Linked DNA regions of Anolis sagrei. The protein of the gene in region 3 purifies or fractionates together with the protein of the main gene of each other region. This does not show direct contact. Links are inferred from orthologs where the notes say so. Each region holds a gene or a part of one and is shown on either strand. Other genes may lie near its edges.

Region 1 (7,462 bases), on a different chromosome or scaffold from region 3:
ACTCATATTTAAAGATATCTACAATACCGATGATCATCCTGTGAAGTAAACATGATCACACTTTAATCCCTTATTGGCAGAGATTAAAAAGAATGAACGGCTAGAAAACCGGAAATAGACCGGCCAGTTTTCTTTTAGATAGCCAGCCAGATGGCATTGAGAGTTCCACTCTGGTTTTCTTCCTGCACTGCAAACAAAACAACCTTTCCCTTCAAAAGGATGAATATTTGTACCCACTAAATATTCAACATTTTCCCTGCAAAAAGCAGGCGTCTTAATGTGAGAGGATTAGATACATTTTCATTCTGAGTAATTATGTTAACTATCCTGCTGTTTCCTTTGGCTTTTGTCTTTTCCGCTCCTGTTCCTGAACTATTATGCTGCGTGGCTCTGCACAGTTGGACAGCTGCTGCAATCTGGTGACATTGGTTATAGCGTGTGTTGTTTTGAAAAGCGCTGGGGCCCTGAAGCATGTCCTGTACAAACAGGAAAACACACACAACCAGCACCAATAAGAACAACCAGCTAGTGTGTCCTCCCCCAGTATTCCAAGGGCAGGGTGATGCTTGTTTGAAATGCTAAGTACGGGAAAGAAATCTTATGGGTTTTTTTATCTTTCTCATCATTCCTTAATGCTCTCCTACAGCCTCCCTGAATCTGAGATATTGGACTATAGCTCCCAGCATCCCCAGAAAACAATGGAATTTGGGGATGATGCATTCACTCCACATATCTGGATAGGTTTCAGGTTGAGGAATGAGGACATCTTCAATGGCCAACTCTGGACTCGCAAGGGGTCAGATTAGGCCCATGAGACATATATGCCCTCCCACAAATCTAGGTGTGGTAGAAAATAAGTTGGAGAGGATTAATCAGTAGAAGATATAGATAATGATTTTACATGAATAAAAAAGCATAATTTTTAATTGGTCTGGTGACTCAAAACATAGCCCAATGCAAAAATTTGGAAACTGACTTGAAAAGACAACATGCCAAAAAGTAGGGTTTTTTTAAAAAAAATATTTTTTCTCTCAAAATTTAAGAGTGCCTACCTTTGAAGGGTATGGGTGCCATTTCTCTCCTTTGCCTCCATCACCATCCCTCTATGTCAGTCTTGGCACAACTAGAACCAATGCAACATCAATGTTGGTCCAAGCTTTTGTGTAGAAAACAGTGCTGTTTCATGGGTGGAGGCAATGGAAGACAAGGGAACCCAAACCACCACATCTTGGGATGTATGTTTGGGAACTGGAAAAAAATGTCTTTTAGGGTCCTTGGGTCTGAAAAGGGGGAGAATGCTGCAAGGGTCACAGACTAAAACTCGAGAATCCAGTCCTATCTGGAGGCTTTCCTGGCATGACATTGAAATTGAGCTGGAAGAGACTGGTGATCCTAGCATGGCACCAAGAGACGCGGACCTTGCCCCCTCCCAGGCAGCAGCCACAGATCAGGAGGAAGAGACAGAGGCCCTTCATCCTATCATGAGTCATAAATCAGAGCACAGGGGACAAAGGGTCAGGTAGCAGCCCTGCTCCGCTTTAAATATAGGACACTGCGATAATGAGGCCAGCTGGGCCAAATAGCTGCTGACTATAAATTAACTCAACCCAGACCTTCTGTTGCTGCAGACAACAGCTCCAAAGCCTCCATATGACATTGGCTGACATCTCTAGCTTTGTAGATCTCTAACCTTTGGTGTATACTTTTGGACTAATCTCTCTGGCAACTCCCTTCTTAGCTTTCAATTCTGTTCATGATGGCCTCTGACTGCCTGGGGCCACCTCTCTACTTGTAACCCTGTGTAAGCCCTGGAACTGTCATGATTTGCTTCAAACAATTCATTTTGACTGTAGATGTGGTCACACGAGTGCTTTCTAGCCTTAAACAGGAAACCAGGGACAAAATATTGCTCACAAGTTAGTTTTTCCCATCCTTGTTGTGCTTCCTTTCTCTATGATTTGTCAAACTCTGGTTATAGAATTAGGAAGCATATCCAGCTATATTCAGGAGATTTATGGCTGCTTGACTTTGACACATCAGGTGGTGAATTGTTACACAATTCCTGTTCAAACCTTTGCAAGAGGCATTGGATTTTTTCTTCTCTGTTTGCCTTGACATCTGCAAGTAAAGACAATCTCTTTTCAACACCCCCCTATTTTGCTGAGTAATGGCTTTGCATTGGTTGCATCTCCAAGTAGATGACAGGGTTCAATCGAGAAGCTCTCATTAGGACCCATTGGCTTATCCAGGTTTGATTCCACCAAATCAAATTCCACAGGGTGAGCTATGTCAATACAGCTGGTGGGTTCCATCAACATGTACACTCATCCTTCAAACTCCATCAATTGCTTAGGAGGTAAAGTGAAGAATTCAATAATTTCTGATTATATAGCCTCCCGCCCCAAAGCTAACTAGCAAACATTATTCTGTGCATCCAAACTTATATTACTGTTTACACTCACCACGTTGCTTTTGAAATGTAATTTTGTTGTAGACCCATTAGCTAACAAAAACTTGTAGGTAACTATTCAACTGTGTTAAGTTGCTGTGAGTTTTCCAGGCTATATGGCCATGTTCCAGAAGCATTCTCTCCTGATGTTTCACCCACATCTATGGCAGACATCCTCAGAGGTTGTGAGGTCTGTTGGAAACTAGGCAAGTGATGTTTATATATCTGTGGAATGTCCAGGGTGGAGAAAGAACTCTTGATGTAAAGTAACTGCGTTACTTTAACATTTCAGAGGGAATGGAGCTATCCAAGGTGCTGAACCCCATCCTTCCTCTCAATATGTTCACCACCTTGAATATAGCTCACTTACATTTAGATTAAAACCCAAAACAAATTTATTGTCTTACTAACAAGAAAACCACTAACAGCCACAACCAGATTACTCCAAAGACAGTTTTTAGTTTTGTTTTGTTAGGTTTTTTTTTTTTTTGTGCCACTGAAATATAAAGGGCCTCAAGCACCTTTCAGGTCACCTAAAATATGATGCTTGAAACAGCCACCTTGCTCTGCCCAATAGTAGCCCAGCCCTGAGGGTTTCTCAAGGTTGTTTGATGGATGGTAAAAAGTGGATGCTGGCATCGAGAGGATGATCCAGCAAAGCTTGTCTTGCATTCTTACATTCTTGTTGAGGCTGACAAACCACATTCCTACACATTGCACCAAAAGATTAATTGGCAATGTCCCAACTGTTTTTGAAAAAAGAATTGGATGGAGTAAGTTAAAGAACTGCTAATTTGAAAGCTGTTGAAGAGGGTCTAGCTGCAGTTTCTGCATTTGGGAGTGTGGATGGACTCCATGGCCTATGAGGCCCCTTCCAATAAGTACAAATCTATGAGTCTTTCCTATAATCCTATAATTGCTGAAATGCTTTCAAATCTTTGTATTGTCACATTTTCATGATTTCTTTGGTATTTGTGGTCCTAGGGCTGTGAATTGGGGGGGGGGGTGGCGGCACAGGGCAGATGTTCATGTGCGTATTGGAGCATTTCCCCCAGAGAATGAAAAACTATTTAATAGGGCAGCAGTTAGATCAGAAAAATCACAGCATGAAGGGAGAATTGAGACATTGCCCTTCGATTTGCATACAGAGCCCACCTCACAGCTGGATTTCTTAAAAGCTGGATGGACAGTCATGAATGTCTCAACATAAAGTAGAGCTTGAGAGTAGATTAGACTGTATTCCATCAAATAAATATAGTTAATGTGAGGCTGACTGCAGATCTCCTGGTATAATGTCTAGTTTGATTTGTGGCTGCGAAACTCACTAGATGCCTGTGGAACAGTCGCTTCCTACAAACTTAATCAGGTTGCTGGGAGGATAAAAATGAGGCTCACGTTTTCCTCTCTGAATCCTTAGGAAGTGAATATTTAAAGAGAAGAGGGAGGGGGGATAATGCCCATTTTAAAATAGTGTCTGTTTTCTTTCTGGGACTCTTCTTATTCAACAGAGTGGGCCGCAATGATCATCAAATAAATCATCCACCGAGCCTCTGAAATTAATATTTCAGGCTGTGCAAATGAGATGCAAAAGCCTGCAAAGAGAAGCCACGGTGGGAGCGGGAGAATTATTAAATGGAAACAGAGCAAAATGGAATCATTGACTGGGGAGGGGAGGGAGCAAGGTGAACGCAACAGAGCCAATAAATCATCCACTGCTCCTTTTTCCTGCTGCAAATCGGAGCAGCCTTGCAAGCCTGCGTGCCCAATGGAAAATATTAACTACAGAAAAATTGTCACTCTTTTAACCACGACTTTGCCAGGTAGAACTGGGAGAACAATAGAGGAGTGGGAAACCCCTTCCAGATGCTTGGGGGAAGAAATGCTTCCTGACTGGTGTCATGCCTTAGAGACACAGGCGAGCGCATTGTGAAACGTTAGAGAGATCCAGTTACACAAAAGCATGTCTGGTTGAGTTTCACGTCCAGCCCCAGAGCAGGAAAAGGGTTAACCAGAGAGGTTGCATGTTAACAGTGGAGATTATGGAATGTTTATCCAGCGTTCAGATTTCCTGTTTGAGTGTTTGGATTTCCTGAAATCTCTTCTATCAGCCCAAGGGGTGTCCAGTGAGTGGCCTTCTCTTCCCTGCCCCCAACCTAGGAGTTTTTCTGCTCACATGGGTAGACTTTCCTTCCTGCTGCCTTCCTAATTGTATTTGTGTCTCCTCCACACCAGTCAGGACTTTTATGGATGTGAGTCAAAACTTTGAAACTCCAGAAAACATCTGTGGATACCCTGGATTTTGGAATACTTTTTTTCTGTCATTCGAAACAAGCAAGGAAATATAATACAAACGCCCCAGGAATCATCATCAGTGTTGCAGTATGGTTTCTCTCTCTTCCTTTTTTCCAGCTGCCTTGAGGAAGGGAGTTGTAGCATTGGAAACAATGGAATGATGGCCTTCATTTTGGCGGGCATTTCTGGAATGGGAGTTCCAACTGGACAAGTCTTGGTGAGTTATCAAATATTGCTTTGGGGCTGGTTCATCAAAGGAAGATAAAGCTGGCACCAACATTGCCTATACTCCTCAAATAATCTGTTTGTGCTTGCAAATTGGCAGCAATGAAACTGTTTTGCTACACTGATTTATTTGTACATTAACTGCCTGAAATTGCATGCTTTTTATTGTAGGAAACTGGTGTTTCACTCTGCAAATTTGTGCTTGGTCCAATATTTCTGCTTTTAGGAGGAATGGGAGGAATTCCATTAATTTTTCAGAACTGCTTTTGTGAGCATTTTTTTTTAACAGAGCTGGGTTTGCAGAAAAAGCCACATGTACAACCCCATTGCCTCAAGATTGGCAGAAAGCGAGTATTTAAACTGTATGTGTGTTTGCATTCTCCAATTCAACCCACTAGATCATTATGGATGGATGTTATCCGCATTCTTCCAAGGCCTGTTGCGGATCAGCTCCAGTTTAGTTTTAGCACAATGCACATGCCATGTTTCTCTCTGTTGTCTTTTCAAATATTTCTGAGTTAGAGAGAAAACCTGGAGCGAATGCAAGGGGCCAAGAAGGGGTAAGATTCAGCTTTAGACTTTCCTGTTGAGAACTAGACAGCAGGAAAAATGCAAAGGAAAAGACATCATTTTGCTAATCATGCAAACTTTACATCAGACTATTAAAGGGGAGATCTTACATTTTTCATTAAAGTATTATGAAATTAATCAATGAGCAATTTTCACTCACTCAAAAACCAAAAAGAGATTGGTTAAGAGCTGCTCTTAAAATTGGACATCTGCACCAAATGTTAAATATTTTATTCCATGAGGTTTCAAGTTAGGCTGTATGTTTAAAATTATATTTACACTGATTTTTTGGCATTTACATTTTCTGTCATTCACATGCAAAGCTCACAACAGTAAGAAGATAGATCCAACTCAACATTTTCTTCCATTTCCCATCAAGGGGCAATTCCTAACTGCTTTGAGTCTCCTTTAAGGGAGGAAAGTGAGATATTATACTTCTTATTATTATTTGAAACACAACGAGATGAGCCCACAGCAGATACTCTGCTGGCTGTTGAATTGGATCACACATCAGACACTTTCCAAGTGTCTAGGACTGTGTGATGTATCGGTGAATAATATGTGCAACTTCGAGTAGGGTGACCTTTTACATTTGACAGATGGTAATTTTGTCTGAGCTGATTGTTTTTAAGTGCAGGCCAAGGTCTTTAGGCACTGCACCCAGTGTGCCGATCACCACTGGGACCACCTTTACTGGCTTATTATTATTATTATTATTATTATTATTATTATTTTCTGTCTCACTTATGAGATGTGCCATTGCTGAAGTGCATTTAATATGTATCCTCATTCCTTCATTTCATTTTTCTTCTACACAATGGCGTCTATTTCAGCTGACTTTTGCTGGTCAAGACTTAGGCTGAATCTACACTGACCATATAATGCAGTTTCAAGCTGCATTATGTGATCAATATATATAGACCAGGCATGGGCAAGCTTAACTCCCATGGCTAAATGCAATGGAGCCCTGAGAGTTGTAGTTTTACAAGGTCTTTAGCCTTCTCTGCCAAGGGGTGCTGGTGCCTCGCCAAACCTCCACTATTTCATAGTACTGTGGCAGATAATGTAATGTCAAACTGCGTTAATTCTACAGTGTAGATAAGGCATGGGCAAACTTTGTCCCTCCAGGTGTTTTGGACTTCAGTTCCCACAATTCCTAGCCTCAGGCCCTTACCTTTCCCCCCTCAGCCAATTAAGCGAAAAGGAAAGGGCCTGAGGCCAGGAATCGTGAGAAGTGAAGTCCAAAACACCTGGAAGGCCAAAGTTTGCCCATGCCAGATATAGACCATATAGTTCAGTTTAAATGCATTGTACTGCATTATATGGTTTACAGTAACCATATAATGGAGTTCTAGTCTCAGCAAAGTCTGCCAGTAGAATCATTTTGCAGTAGAATCAACTAATTTGTGCTCAGGGAACTTTCAACTATCCCCCCTCCCAAAAAAAGCAAAAACAAAATAGCTCGAATAAACCGGATTGTTTGCTATGGTTTTATATATGCATCCTGGCGGCAAAACAGAGAGGAATGTGGTTTCCAAACTTAAGCTGTTTTCCTTCTTGCAAAATTTGCATCCATGTCAGTCTTGTTGCTAATGTGGAAGCAAGGGCAGTCAGGCTTTTAGGCATGGAAAACTGAAACTCATTTTTGAAATGTGGCCATTGACGCTTGATCCAACACATGGAATTTCACTCATGTGATTAGGTCTACAAACTCTTTAAAATGGATGTTCTTGGTGTGTCAGGATTGCGCTTTGGTCAGTGAGACTCTATGATGCAGTGGGAAATCTTTGATTGGAATCCTTTTCTGCTTAAGCAAATTCTCACAGTAAACCAATTGGACCATTTTGGAGACTGTTCCATTATCTGGTGGAGGCCAAAAGGACATGCTAGACAGAGAAGGATAATCCATTTAATGGGGGGGGGGGT
Region 2 (6,998 bases), on a different chromosome or scaffold from region 3:
GACTAGAAATCAGAAAGCTGCCAGATAATATTGTCACCAATTTCATCAATTCTTGTCAAAAGAATTTCATCCCCCAAATCTGGAGACAATATCCAAAGGAGAGTAAGTTATCCACTGGATTCCCTACCATGTAAGTTACATAAACCAAGACTGAGCTGCTGCTCCCAAAAATCCTGCCTGATTCTAACATTACTACCATCCTATGGATGGACAAAAATATATATAAAGCCAGATTTTTTAAACATCTAAACCATTATAACTGTTGCTTAAGAATTTGTATCACATTTTTTTTAGTTGAGTCTGACAACACAATAAATTATTTCCATTAACTTTACTTTGCTCTTCCCTAACAATGAATGAAGTGTTGTTTACTTGACATTTACAACAAAAATACTGAAATCTCTATGTCAATATTTTCTAATATTCTACAAAATGATTTCAGCATTGAGGCTGCGGTGGAGCAACAGGTTAAACTGCCGAGCTGCTGAACTTACTGACTGGAAGGTTGCGGTTCGAATCCTCAGGATGGGGCGACCTCCCATTGTTAGACCCAGTTTCTTCTAGCCTAGCACTTAGAAAACGTGCAAATGTGAGTAGATCAATAGGTACCACCTCCGCAGGAAGGTAAACAGTGCTCCATGCAGTCATGCCAGCCACATGACCTAGGAGGTATCTATGGACAATGCCTCCTAGGCTTAGAAATGAAGATGAGCATCACTCACCCCCCCCCCCCCCCCCAGAGCTGGGAGGGGAAGCCTTTACCTTTATCTGTGTTTCTTTGTCATGTTTCTATGCATTGAATGTTTGCCTTTGTGTTTGTGTATGCTGGAATCCACCCTGAGTGCCCTTGGGGACATAGGGCGGAATACAAATAAGTCGTTGTTGTTGTTGTTGTTGTTAGAATTAGCATTAGCATTAAGAATTTATGCTGTGCAGTATGGTACCAGTTATATTTGGATATTTTTTAAGCTGACAAATAAATGTTGCTTTGGGAAAATGTTAAGGGTTTAAATCTCTTGGGAAAATACAAAAAACTTTATCAATTGGCGGAGAAATCAAACACAGATTAATGTACCGTAGTATCTGCAGTGCAACTGCTGTGATGGTGAGCCATATGGACCACTTCAGATTTGTTTTCTACAATCTGCTAGTATATGCTATTGCTGCAGCAAAAGCTATCCAGAGCTTAATCCACACTGCTTTGAATTGCAACTAAAAAAGATAAGGTTTTCTAATTATACACTTCCGCAGCATGAGTGTCTATGGTGAAGCTGCAGTTAACAACTGAATCAGAAAAGGGGAGCGGACTGTGATTTGGGGATCCCAAACTATGGGAGGAAAACTTGCAGTCCACCCCCACCTTCAAATAAACTGATTTTATTTGTACAGTGCCTAGCACTTTAGACACTTAATATAATGGGCTATGATACAAAGCACTACATATCCATGCTTAGAGATAGGCTTTCCAGCTCATAATTCTCCAGATAAGATATTACCCCTAAAGCTCTGTTAAATTTGTGGCTCCGGGGACATGAGACCTAAAGGAACATGAACAAAAACACATGCTATAGGTACATGCAAGCAATAGAAGTACTGTAAATTATTATTCATCATTATTTTATTTATACCCCACTTTGCCCCAGGCTCAAGAAGCAAGATGGATTATAGGAATTCAAATGTATAAAGATAAAAGCTCACATCACACTTATACAGACAACCTGGGTTCATTTTAACTGAGCATCGCAGAAGAGAAACAACACCTTGCTTCAGTTTTGAGTATATCCTTGTTCTGCAGTAAATTGCTTTTTAAAAATCCATGCCTTTAATCATCTAGGCCATCAAGATTTGCTTTAATGAGTACATATATATCTTTATTTGGTTTCTGTGAGTTTTCTGGGATATATGGCCATGTTCCAGAAGCATTCTCTCCTGACCTTTTGCCCTTATCTATGGCAGGCATCCTCAGAAGTTGTGAGGTCTGTTGGAAACTAGGCAAGTATCTGTATTGTTTAATTTATGCTACAGTGACTTGCCATTCTGAAGCACACAGAAATGCAGCATTTCTTAGAAAAGATACTGTAATGAAGAAAGTAAGCTTTTTGGTCAAGCTGGCTCTCAGGCCACAGCAGCTATTGCTGAGTTGGATCTAAACAATTTGCATCATTCTGCGTCTGCTCAGTGATCATAAATATTTTTCAATGGCAGTCAGACTTCCCATTCATTCCTAATAACATGATTCTAGACTGCCGATGTGTAACATATGTGCATTGTATTCCCACCTCCATCACAGAAACTGGAAGGGAAGGAGACACTGGCTGTAAAGACATTAATGGAGCATTGAAGCATTTTTGCTGTGTATGTGTGTAATGCAAAAAATATAATAGGCTTTTTGTAAGGGGTGGGAGGACCCTAAGCCAATTCAAATTACTTTTATTCAGCAATGTGAGCATCTTTCCAGATTCTAGCCCCATCATTAAATGTGCGAGCATCAGAAAAAAGTAATCAAGGAGCAATCCGTTACATTCCTACTTGATCTGCCCTTGCTCCAAGTCTGCATGGGCTTATCTACTAAGTTCCTTGTTTTTAAAAAGTTTACACAGAGGCTTAAAAGCTATTACTGACAATTCCTCCCATTTATCCCAGCCACCCATTTGCCAGCCAAGAACACCACAAATACACACCAGCAAGAAAACTACGTGCAGTTCCTGCAGCTTCCCAATTAACCATTTCTCCCATTTGCAGGCAATGCCCACAGCTCCCTTGCACACGGTTTCACAGAGTCAATATTTGTTTTTACAATTATTCATTTACCCAATGTGTGACTTACCCTGGATGCTGCCAAAGATTTGCATGTCGAACCACAGGTAACAATTCCCTCTTATTGAGAGGGGTGATCCCAATTGCAGCTTCAAGAATGGTGATGTACTTCTTGTACTTCATCCTGCCTCTTTCAATGCACCGCTGAAAAAAGCTACCACCTGCTTCTGGATGCAGCATTGGAAAGCATCTGGCCCCAGCAACCTGACTGAACTACAGTGCTGTTTTTCAAAATGTGTAACACACATTGCAAGCTGGGAGTTATAAAAATAACTTTTGGGAAAAGAGTTATAAAAAAAACCCCAAACAGATTCCTGACAGATTCCCCTGAAACGTCATGGTTACATAATTCCAGCGATCTTTGAATAAAGCACTAATGAAAATGAGTCAAGAGACAATCAAGGTCTAAGCCCGCCTGATAATGTACACTCTCCAATTTACTAATCCTTTGCTAAATCTCCAAGGCTTATAATCTTCCAAGTACTAATGGAGTAGCAGGTGACTCGTCTCTCAAATCAAGTAAAGGGCTGCTAAAGATTTGTTCGCTAAACTTTATATAGTGCAGAATGCAAAACATCCTATTTTCTCAATTTTTGGGAGCCGCACTGATCATATCATAAAAATCAATAATAAAGGGAGAACAAAAGGAAGCAATACGTAAAAAAGAAAAACACAAACTTTGCAGGGACAGGAAAACTGAGACCTACATTGATCTGGACATAATTGAGAGAAACAATTTCATTCATTTGTAGTGGACCTTGTAAATACGAATAGATACTCTCTTGCTTGGCCATAATAAAAGGTAACTGTTTCCTTTAACATTAAGTCTAGTTGTGTCCAACTGGGAGGTGGTGCTCATCTCTATCTGGCATTGTCCATAGGCACCTCCAAGGTCGTGCGGCTAGCATGACTACGTGGAGTGCTGTTACCTTCCCACAGAAGTGGTACCTATTGATCTATTCACATTTGGATGTTTTTGAACTGCTAGAATGACAGAAGCTGGGACTAACAGAGGGAGCTCACCCCACTCCCCAGATTTGAACTGACAATAATAATAATAATAATAATAATCTGTATTTGTATCCTGCCACCATCTCCCCAAACGGGGACTCGGAGCGGCTCACATGAGGCCAAGCCCAAGCAACAAATTACAATAAAACAATAAAGTACAAAGCATATAAATACAATAACCAATATACACAAAACATAAAGCAATAAACAACATAATGACAGTAAAAATGGTTTAAAAACTCAGGGTGAGATAAAAGGGGCAGATTATTTGCATAGGGGAACTCATAGAGACACAGTGTAATAAACATACCTTTGTACAAGGGGGGGGGGTACTCTTAGGTCAAAATGTTGAGGGGGGCAATAGCTAAAGCTTGTGTGGCTACTCTCCAAAAGCGCAGCGGCACAGCCAGGTCTTGAGATTCTTTTTAAAGGTTTCTAAGGTAGGGGCTTTCCTAAGCTCACCGGGCAGTGAGTTCCAGAGTCAGGGAGCCACAGAGGAGAAGGCTCTTCTCCTTGTACCCTCAAGGTAAGCCTAAGAAACTGGCAAGGGTGAAAGGAGGGCATCCCCCGAAGATTGAAGAGCTTGATCTGGTTCATGGAGAGAGATACGGTCACGATGGTAGGTGGGTCCCAAACCGTTTAGGGCTTTATAGGTAAGAACCTGCACCTTGAATTGAGACCAGAAAATGAATGGCAGCCAATGAAGCTCCTTAAACAGGTGGGTTGACCACTCCCTGTAAGTTGCCCCAGTTATTAATTTGGCTGCCAAGCATTGGACAAGTTGTAATTTCTGGGCTGTCTTCAAGGGTAGCCCCACATAGAGTGCATTGCAGTAATCCAGTCTAGAGGCAACTAAGGCATGGACCACCATGGTCAAGTCAGAGGTAGAGGGTGTGACCTAAGCCCGGTGACCAGAGAGCGGATCAATAGATCTACAAACACCTTTCTAAAAATGATGCCCAGTGTTTTATCAAGTGAGAACAGCTCCTCCGCTAGCAGTCTGTCTTCCAATGAGATGAGAAGACATGTAGAATGGTCCCAGGATAAAGCCAGTCAATGGTTTTGATTTTCACTTCTGACCGGCTTACAGATAGAATTTGGGATAGAGAGATCTGGACCGCTCTCTTTGATGTCCATTTGCCTCCGTTCCATAATGAGTCTGAAATTTCCCCAGCCAAGTTATTAGTCCTCAGCAGATGTTGACAATGGTGTGGAGTGTCCAAAGTTTGTTCAACAGACTCAGTTGTGAACTTATTTTCTATGTTGTGCAAGACAAAGTTTGTCTGATCCGTCCTCCCCCCTTCCTCTAAAAGCCTCAATTCCTGACCTATTATCTACTTTCTGCCCCTCAAACCTATTTCTCTCCTGGCCTTTCGTTGCAGCTACATCCTCAACAAAATTTGTCAACACAGCGGGTTCAGCAGCTCAGCAGTTTAATCTGCTGCACCACCAGGGGACAATAATAGGCAAGAAAATATCTGGTTATTCCACTCACAAAAAGAACCAGCACATATAAAGACGTTTTGTGGACTAACAATATTATTTATTTGCTTTGCTGTAAGCTCAGGGTCAGCTCTACAATTAGGCAAAGTGAATATGCCAGCTCAGGAAACAGATTTAAGATATCACAACAGCCCTCAAAATATGTAATTATTAATGTATATCTTCTGTTGGAGGCAGGGAGATATGTTTTTGCACCACATGTACCAAACAATATGGTAGGCATTATGACTTGGGTTAATCAAGAGGTACTGTATGATGTTTTGCCTAAAGTCAGCCTTGTAGTGAGTGGAAAACATTACACCCTCCACATCAAGCACCAATAAGGTCCCCTCAAACTATTTGAATGCATATACACTGTAGAATGAATGCAGTTTGACACCACTTTAACTGCTATGGTTCACTGCTGTTGTATTCTGGTGAGGCACTACTACTCTTTGGCAGCAAAGACTAAAGACCTTGTACAACTACAACTCCCATGATTCCATCACATTGAGCCATAATTATTAAGGTATTACCAAATTGCATTCATTCTACAGTATAGATGCACCTAACATTCTGTGGATCTATTATTTTAATTCAGTAACACTTCCTATGGTAGATGGGGAGTTGATATGGGTTTGTGGGCCGCATTTTCTCTACCTTTTATTTATAACAGAGGAGCCCCCGGTGTCGCAATGGGCTAAATCCTTGTGCCGGCAGGACTGATAACTGGCAGGTCAGCAGTTCAAATCAAGGGAGAATGGGTTGAGCTCCCTCTGTCAGCTCTGGCTCCTCATGGAGGGACAGAAGAGAATCCTCCCACAAGGATGGTAAAACATCCGGGCGTCCCATGGGCAACGTCCTTGCAGATGGCCATTTCTCACACATCAGAAGCAACTTGCAGTTTCTCAAGTAACTCCTGGCATGAAAAAAATTACATCAGAGATGGGTAGCTGTGTTCCCCAAGTATGTTTGGCCATAATTCTCACGAGCAATAAACAGCATAGTTAATAATGAGAAATTGGGGGACATGAAGTCCAGAAACATCTGTAGAACCTCATCTATAGCTATCCTTAATGCCAAAGAGGCCCATGTAGTAGAATCAGTGTTCTATATATTTTGTATTTATTAACAAATACTTTTCCCTGTTGTAGACTAAATTACTCCCAAACCCATATTGTACAATTAAAGTGTTCAAAATGGGTGAAAATCAGCTGGTAATAAGAAGGGGAGAAATGCTGACAGGGAAGTGCATGACAAAAACAAAAGCAATTAGTTCTGGAATTTACTCATATTTTCTGTTAATCTTGTGAAGAATTTGCAGGTTTCTTTTAATCTTTGTGATCTGCTCAAGACATTGGACAACATTTGTCACACTGGATTATTCACAACATCATTAAGAAAGAAGAGAGAGAATATGCAACAATGTTCCTTTCCTTCAACCCCAGATATATTGTTCAAAACTTTTCTTGTGCCCGTATTCAGCCCATGGGTTTGCCAACCAGTAGGGTGTTTCCATAGGTTTCATATGCCCCACAGACTCTCATTATGACTTGAAGCATGATTCTTGTACACAATCTAGTCGCCTGTCTAACTGGCAAAATTAAAAAAGAACTACAAGTGAGTTCCTTTTTTCAGTATTGCAACGTTATTTCATTGTTGATAAAATGAACACAGGGAAGCAGAAA
Region 3 (7,929 bases):
CACCTGTAGCTAGAATGGAGATGGCAACTTATCTTGATAAGGATGAAATTGGAAAAAGTGTGTGTGGCAGTGGTTTCCTTAACCTTGGAGTACTACACTGCTTGTTCATGTGGGGCAAGCAAAGCTGAGAAGGACACCTGTCAGATTCTCAGCGAATGAAAGTGACTGGAGAAGAGTTGGGGGACATGTTTCTGTGTAGGGTCTCCATAGTTTGTGTGCAGGGGTGCTCTATATGTGTGTGTGTAAGTAAAGGCTCTGTGTGTGTAGGGGGCTGCCTATGTGTTGTTGTTCTCTTTGTGTATGTGTGTGTAAGGTATCTGTGTGCGTTTAGGGCAGGCATGAGCAGACTTGGGCCCTCCAGGTGTTTGGACTTCAGCTCCGACAATTCCTAACATTAGGAATTGTGGGAGTTGAAGTCCAAAACATCTGGACAGCCCAAGTTTGCCCATGATTGGTTTAAGGGCTCAGTATGCAGGTAGATGTGTATGAGTCAAGGTTTTGTGTGTCGTGTTATGTCATGTGTATGGGGGTCCATGTGTGCATGAGTAGAGTATGTAAGGACTGTGTGTGTTTGGTGTAGTAGAGCAGGCATGGAGCAAACTTGGGCCTTCCACGTATTTTGGACTTCAACTCCCACAATTCCTAATGTGGGAGTTGAAGTCCAAAACACCTGAAGGGCCCAAGTTTGCCCATGCTTGGTTTAGTGGCTCAGTATGCGGGTAGATGTGTGTGAGTTAAGGCTCTGTGTGTTGTTGGTTTGGGGGGGGGGGGTCTCTATTTATGTCTTGAGTTGAAGCTGTGTATGGGCTGGTGTGTGGCTATTTGTATATCCATAGGTGTATGTACATGTATATAATATGTGTGAGTAGGGACTCCATGTCTGTAATGTTGTGTATGTGTGTTTTGGGGGGTGTCCCTATGTCTTGAGTTGAAGCTGTGTATGGGCTTGTGTGTGGCTGTTGTTTGTATATCCATAGGTGTATGCATATGTATATAATATGTGTGAGTAGGGACTCCATGTCTGTAGTGTTGTGTATGTGTGTTATTTTTTGAGGGGTGTCTCTATTTATGTCTTGAGTTGAAGCTGTGTATGGGCTTGTGTGTATTTGTATATCCATAGGGGTATGCATATGTATATAATATATGTGAGTAGGGACTCCATGTCTGTAGTGTTGTGTATGTGTGTTATTTGGGGGGGGGGGTCTCTATTTATGTCTTGAGTTGAAACTGTGTATAGGCTTGTGTGTGGCTGTTGTTTGTATATCCATAAGTGTATGTATAGGTATATAATGTGTGAGTAGGGACTCCATGTCTGTAGTGTTGTGTGTGTTATTTCTTTTTTGGGGGGTCTCTATTCATGTCTTGAGTTGAAGCTGTGTATGGGCTTGTGTGTGGCTGTTAGTATATCCATAGTGTTGTGTATGTGTGTTTTGGGGGGGTGTCTCTATTTATGTCTTGAGTTGAAACTGTGTATGGGCTTGTGTGTGTCTGTTGTTAGTATATCCATAGTGTTGTGTATGTGTGTTTTGGGGGGTGTCTCTATTTATGTCTTGAGTTGAAGCTGTGTTGTTTGTATATCCATAATGTTGTGTATGTGTGTTTTGGGGGATGTCTCTATTTATGTCTTGAATTGAAGCTGTGTATGGGCTATGTGTATGGCTGTTGTTTGTATATCCATAGGTGTATGTATATAATATGTGTGAGTAGGGACTCCATGTCTGTAGTGTTGTGTATGTGTGTTATTTTTGAGGGTGTTTCTATTTATGTCTTGAATTGAAGCTGTGTATGGGCTATGTGTGTGGCTGTTGTTTGTATATCCATAGGTGTATGTATATAATATGTGTGAGTAGGAACTCCATGTCTGTAGTGTTGTGTATGTGTGTTATTTTTGAGGGTGTTTCTATTTATGTCTTGAGTTGAAGCTGTGTATGGGCTTGTGTGTGGCTATTTGTATATCCATAGGTGTGTGTATATGTATTTAATATGTGTGAGTAGGGACTCCATGTCTGTAGTGTTGTGTATGTGTGTTATTTGGGGGGGGGGATCTCTATTTATGTCTTGAGTTGAAGCTTTGTATGGGCTTGTGTGTGGCTGTTGTTTGTATATCCATAGGTGTGTGTATATGTATATAATATGTGTGAGTAAGGATTCCATGTCTGTAGTGTTGTGTATGTGTGTTATTTGGGGGGGATCTCTATTTATGTCTAGAGTTGAAGCTGTGTATGGGCTTGTGTGTGGCTGTTGTTAGTATATCCATAGTGTTGTGTATGTGTGTTTTGGGGGGTGTCTCTATTTATGTCTTGAGTTGAAGCTCTGTTGTTTGTATATCCATAATGTTGTGTATGTGTGTTTTGGGGGGTGTCTCTATTTATGTCTTGCATTGAAGCTGTGTATGGGCTTGTGTGTGGCTGTTGTTTGTATATCCATAGGTGTATGCATATGTATATAATATGTGTGAGTAGGGACTCCATGTCTGTAATGTTGTGTATGTGTGTTTTGGGGAGGGGGTCTCTATTTATGTCTTGAATTGAAGCTGTGTATAGGCTTGTGTGTGGCTGTTGTTTGTATATCCATAGGTGTGTGTATATGTATTTAATATGTGTGAGTAGGGACTCCATGCCTGTAGTGTTGTGTATGTGTGTTACTTGGGGGGGGGGGGTCTCTATGTCTTGAGTTGAACAGCTTGTGTGTGGCTGTTGTTTGTATATCCATAGGTGTATGTATATGTATATACTATGTGTGAGTAGGGACTCCACGTCTGTAGTGTTGTGTGTGTGTGTGTTTTGGGGGGGGGTCTCCCTATGTGTGGGTTATGTGTGTAGCTTGGCAGAGCCCCCTCCCTCTCCCCAAGCTCTCCAGATAAATAAATAGAAGGAAGGAAGGGCCCCCTAGAAACCGCCTTTTCGCCTCAAGGCCCCCCCCCCTCCTTCCAACCGCCCTCTCCCCTCTCACCAAGGAAACGTCTCCTTCTGCGCCCAGCTCGCGCTGCCTGCCTGCTTCCTTGCTCGCTTGCTTCCTTCTCCTCGGGCCACGCCCCCTTCGCTGCCTCCTTCCTCGCGACCCAGCCCCAAAGCCACGCCCCCCGGAGCCACGCCTCCCCTCCACGAAGCCACGCCTCCCCTTCTCTCGCCCAGAGTCAGCCTCAGGGCACGGCGCGCGCACGCGTGCGGGTGAGAGGCCGCAGAGGTCCACGTCACGTGACGAGGGAGAAGCAAGGTAAGAAGGCGGGAAAAAGGGATCTCTGCAAAAGTACAAAGTACACACAACCAGTTTGGGGAAACCACACACTTAAAATACTTCTAAGCCCTCCCACTACCTCTGAAAGGGGGGGAGGAGGGTTATTCACATTCCTCTGTCATAGCAACGGCCATGGCAACAGGCATTGAAAGCCCTTGGGGAAACTACACACCCCAGAAGCCCATTGGGATGTTGCCATGGCAATTAAAACGGAACCAAATGTACTGTCACACTGTAATGTCATAGAAGCCCTGTATTGTTAGGTTAAACAAACAAACAAAAAACACTCAAGGTGCATCTGATATAATAACATAATGTAGTATAATATATTATATATACAATTATTATATTGTAATGCAATTCAATGTAATAATAATATGATATAATTATATATTTTATATTACATGTAATATTGCTAATAATATTACAATATAATGGTATAGTACAATATAGTAATATATAATACTGATATTGTATTATGCTTTATTTATTTATCATGTCATCAGCAACCATACCATTATATTGCATTTCTAACAGAACAAAACAAACAAGCAGATAAAAAAACCCACAAATTTTGCAAACTTGGTAGTTGATTAAATGTCCTTTGACCAGTATCTGGCCACTTGGAGTGCCTCTGGTGTTGCCGCAAGAAGGTCCTCCATTTTGCATGTGGCAGGGCTCAGGGTGCATTGCAGCAGGTGGTCGGTGGTTTGCTCTTCTCCACACTCGCATGTCGTGGATTCCACTTTGTAGCCCTATTTCTTAAGATTGGCTCTGCAATTCGTGGTGCCAGAGTGCAGTCTGTTCAGCGCCTTCCAAGTCGCCCAGTCTTCTGTGTGCTCAGGGGGAGTCTCTGATTTGGTATCGCCCACAGATTGAGGTGCTGGGTTTGAACCTGCCACTTTTGGACTCTCACTTGCTGAGGTGTTCCCGCAAGTGTCTCTGTAGATCTTAGAAAACTATTTCTTGATTTAAGTCGTTGACGTGCTGGCTGATACCCAAACAAGGAATGAGCTGGAGATGTCTCTGCCTTGGTCCTTTCACTATTGGCTGCTACTTCCTGGCGGATGTCAGGTGGTGCAATACCGGCTAAGCAGTGTAGTTTCTCCAGTGGTGTAGGGCGCAGACACCCCGTGATAATGTGGCATGTCTCATTAAGAGCCACATCTACTATTTTAGCGTGGTGAGATGTGTTCCACACTGGGCATGCGTACTCAGCAGCAGAGTAGCATAGCACAAGGGCAGATGTCTTCACTGTGCCTGGTTGTGATCCCCAGGTTGTGCGAGTCAGCTTGCGTATGATATTGTTTCTAGCGTCCACTTTTTGCTTGATGTTCAGGCAGTGCTTTTTGTAGGTCAGAGCACGGTCCAGAGTGACTCCCAAGTATTTGGGTGCGCTGCAATTCTCCAGTGGGACTCCTTCCCAGGTAATCCTCAGAGCTCGGGATGCTTGTCTGTTCTTAAGGTGAAAGGCACATGTCTGTGTTTTAGATGGATTAGGGATTAGTTGGTTTTCCCTGTAATAGGCAGTAAGAGCACCTAGAGCTTCAGAGAGCTTCTGGAAAAAATAGACCCCTGTCTGATTCCACAGCAAGCTGGCTTCAGGAAAGGCAAAAGCTGCACATCGCAAGTGCTGAACCTGACTCAGCACATAGAAGATGGCTTTGAAAGGCAGCAGATCACAGGAGCTGTCTTCATAGACCTGTCAGCAGCTTATGATACTGTGAACCACTGCCTCCTCCTGAGAAAAATGTATAACATCACAAAGGACTATCACCTCACCCGCCTCATAGGAAACCTGCTACAAAACAGGAGCTTTTTTGTTGAGTTCCAGGGCCAGAGAAGCAGATGGCGGAAACAGAAGAACGGCCTGCCTCAGGGGAGCTCCAGCAGGAAGGTAACAGTGCTCCATGCAGTCATGCCAGCCACATGACCTTGGGGGTGTCTACGGGCAACACCGGCTCTTCAGCTTAGAAATGGAGGTGAGCATCATCCCCCAGAGTCTAACACAACTAGCCTTTACCTATACATATGTGTATATATGTGTGCGTGTGTGTATATATACACATGTGTGTCTTTGTATATGTGTGTGTACACATATGTACAGAACATACAGACACCAAATGCATAAAGAATAGAAAGCAAGACCAGAGAAAAATTACATACAAACTATACAGACAGTAATAATTACATGATTAATGCGCGCCATTGGTTCAGGAAACTCACAGATACCAAGAATCTAACAGTAGATATGACAATCAACACCTTTTGTGTGATAAGAAACCATTATCCCAAAGCTCTAGGGATAGCTGGCAACGTCCTACTGAATCTCTCACTTTAGCATCACTTTGCTTTTCAGAACACTTCAATCTGTCACTGATTTTAAACAAACTTCAAAGGTAGATTAGTGAAATTGGGGGGCCCCGAGTTCCAATTCACAGTCTACAAAGCCCATGTTGTGATAAATATGTTCCTAAAGTTTTACTTGAAAGGGATAACCTCCTTGTGTGTGGCTTTTTAATAGACCACGACTATTTTCTCAGTATCCAGGGTGCTGTGATTTGCCTCTTTTGTGCTGATATAAAGTGAATAGTATAATTTAATTCCTTTGCAAGTGAGTCAGAAGAACGCTGCCTGATTTTCCCTGAGCTGATGCATGTGTGGGGGTGTTTTGCCACATTAAGCCGCAAGTGAGAAATTCATGTGCCGGATGCCTTCCTGTGCAAAACTTTTGTCCCCCGCACGTCCTCTCCAAATGTGAAGGATCAAGAGGATCTCCTCTTGATGTAATCCAAACTGGCTCATAGGGGGGATTTATATTGGCTCACAATCTTGAACACGTTGAGGCTTGATGCAGCCAGTTTAAATCAGTCCTTATTCTGGACTATATCCAAGCTATAGAAAAAGATATAAATTTCTCCATAGCCTTCCCTTGATCTTTCAATGCCTCTTTATAGAAATTCAATGATCGTTTGGGATGTTTGTTGCAAAAGGTCCAGGTCTGGAAAGGTTTGGCTGAACTGCAAAAGCTCCTGTCTGAAACCTTGGAGAGCTTTCTCCTTCACCTTCTCCTCCTCCGACATATGGAATGTCTGATATAAATCTGATATAAATCAGCTTCCTCTTATACTTCCTAGCTATCTAATTTGGAGCATATCCTCATTAGGAACAGAAGATTGACTCTTATCTATATAATAGTATGATCTACTGTATATAAATGATGGCACAGATTCATCTACACCAGTGTCACAGGGGTCACCAAAGACCATCAAAAAATACAGTATTTTCTGTTGGTCATGGGGGGTTCTGTGTGGGATGTTTGGCTCAGTTCTATCATTGGTGAGGTTCAGAATGCTTTTGAATGTAGGTGAATGATAAATCCCATCAACTACAACTCCCAAGTGTCAAGGTCTATTTTCCCCCAACTCCACTAGTATTCAAATTTAGGCGTATCAGGTATTTGTGCCAGATTTGGTCCAGTGAATGTAAATACATCCTGCATATCAGATATTTACATGACGATTCATAACATTAGCAAAATGACAGTTATGAAGTAGCAACGCAAATAATTTTATGGTTGGGGGTCACCACAACATGAGGAACTGTATTAAGGGGTCGAGGCATTAGGAAGGTTGAGAAACACTGATCTACACTGTAGAATCAATGCAGTTTGACACCACTATTCAATACTAGGAAATAATGGGAGTTTAGTTTGGTGAGGCATCCACCACTCTTTGGCAGAGAAGGCTAAGGACCTTGTGAAACTACATGTCTTACCATTCCTTAGCATTTTATTTATTTATCGTGTCAGGGGCAGACCAAACAGTTGCATTGCATTTTTTAACAAACAAACAAACAAAACGCAAAGTTTGCAAGCTTGGTAGTTGATTAAATGTCCTTTGACCAGTAGCTGGCCACTTGGAGTGCCTCTGGTGTTGCTGCTAGAAGGTCCTCCATTGTGCATGTGGCAGGGCTTAAGATGCATTATGGTAAGTGGTCTGTGGTTTGCTCTTCTCCACGCTCACATATCGTGGGCTCCACTTTGTAGCGCCATTTCTTAAGATTGGCTCTGTACCTCGTGATACTAGAGAGCAGTCTGTTCAGTGCCTTCCAGGTCGCCCAATCTTCTGTGTGCCCAGGAGGGAGTTTCTCACTGATCTCAACCACTGATTAAGGTGCAGGGTTTTAACCTGCTACTTTTGGACTCTAGCTTGCTGAGGTGTTCCTGTGAGTATCTCTTTCGATCTTAGGAAGCTGTTTCTTGATTTCAGCTGTCGGCATCTTCGCTGATATCTGAACAGAGGATGGACCAGAGATGTCACTACCTTCGTCCTTTCATTATTGGCTGCTACTTCCTGATTGATGTCAGGTGGTGCAATGCCAGCTAAACAGTATAATTTCTCCAGTAGTGTGGGATGTAAACATAGTGTGATAACGCAGCATGTCTCATTAAGAGCCACATTCACCATTTTAACGTGGTGCGATGTATTCCATACTGTTGTTGTTTATTCATTCAGTCAGTCGCTTCTGACTCTTTGTGACCTCATGGACCAGCCCACGCCAGAGCTCCCTGTTGGCCGTTGCCACCCCCAGCTCATTCAATGTCAAGTCAGTGACTTCAAGAATACCATCCCTCCTTCTTGTCCTTTGTCAGCCCTTCTTCCTTTTTCCTTCCATTTTCCCTAGCATTAT

Evidence for each region.
Region 1: the proteins of ARHGAP12 (region 3) and ASAP1 purify together in Homo sapiens (co-immunoprecipitation; 3 studies listed by BioGRID and IntAct, with this or other methods). This does not show direct contact. The link is inferred for Anolis sagrei from reciprocal best matches to the Homo sapiens genes ARHGAP12 and ASAP1.
Region 2: the proteins of ARHGAP12 (region 3) and TJP2 purify together in Homo sapiens (co-immunoprecipitation; 3 studies listed by BioGRID and IntAct, with this or other methods). This does not show direct contact. The link is inferred for Anolis sagrei from reciprocal best matches to the Homo sapiens genes ARHGAP12 and TJP2.

Annotation. Positions count from the first base shown.
Region 1 is NC_090024.1:16,990,365-16,997,826, forward strand, and holds the start of ASAP1 (arf-GAP with SH3 domain, ANK repeat and PH domain-containing protein 1), read left to right. Parts: upstream 1-4,424; 5' UTR 4,425-4,958; intron 4,959-7,462. UniProt on the Homo sapiens protein: Possesses phosphatidylinositol 4,5-bisphosphate-dependent GTPase-activating protein activity for ARF1 (ADP ribosylation factor 1) and ARF5 and a lesser activity towards ARF6.
Region 2 is NC_090022.1:221,775,723-221,782,720, reverse strand, and holds the start of TJP2 (tight junction protein ZO-2), read right to left. Parts: upstream 3,077-6,998; 5' UTR 2,998-3,076; coding exon 2,828-2,997; intron 1-2,827. UniProt on the Homo sapiens protein: Plays a role in tight junctions and adherens junctions. Acts as a positive regulator of RANKL-induced osteoclast differentiation, potentially via mediating downstream transcriptional activity.
Region 3 is NC_090026.1:112,231,438-112,239,366, forward strand, and holds the start of ARHGAP12 (rho GTPase-activating protein 12), read right to left. Parts: upstream 3,037-7,929; 5' UTR 2,953-3,036; intron 1-2,952. UniProt on the Homo sapiens protein: GTPase activator for the Rho-type GTPases by converting them to an inactive GDP-bound state.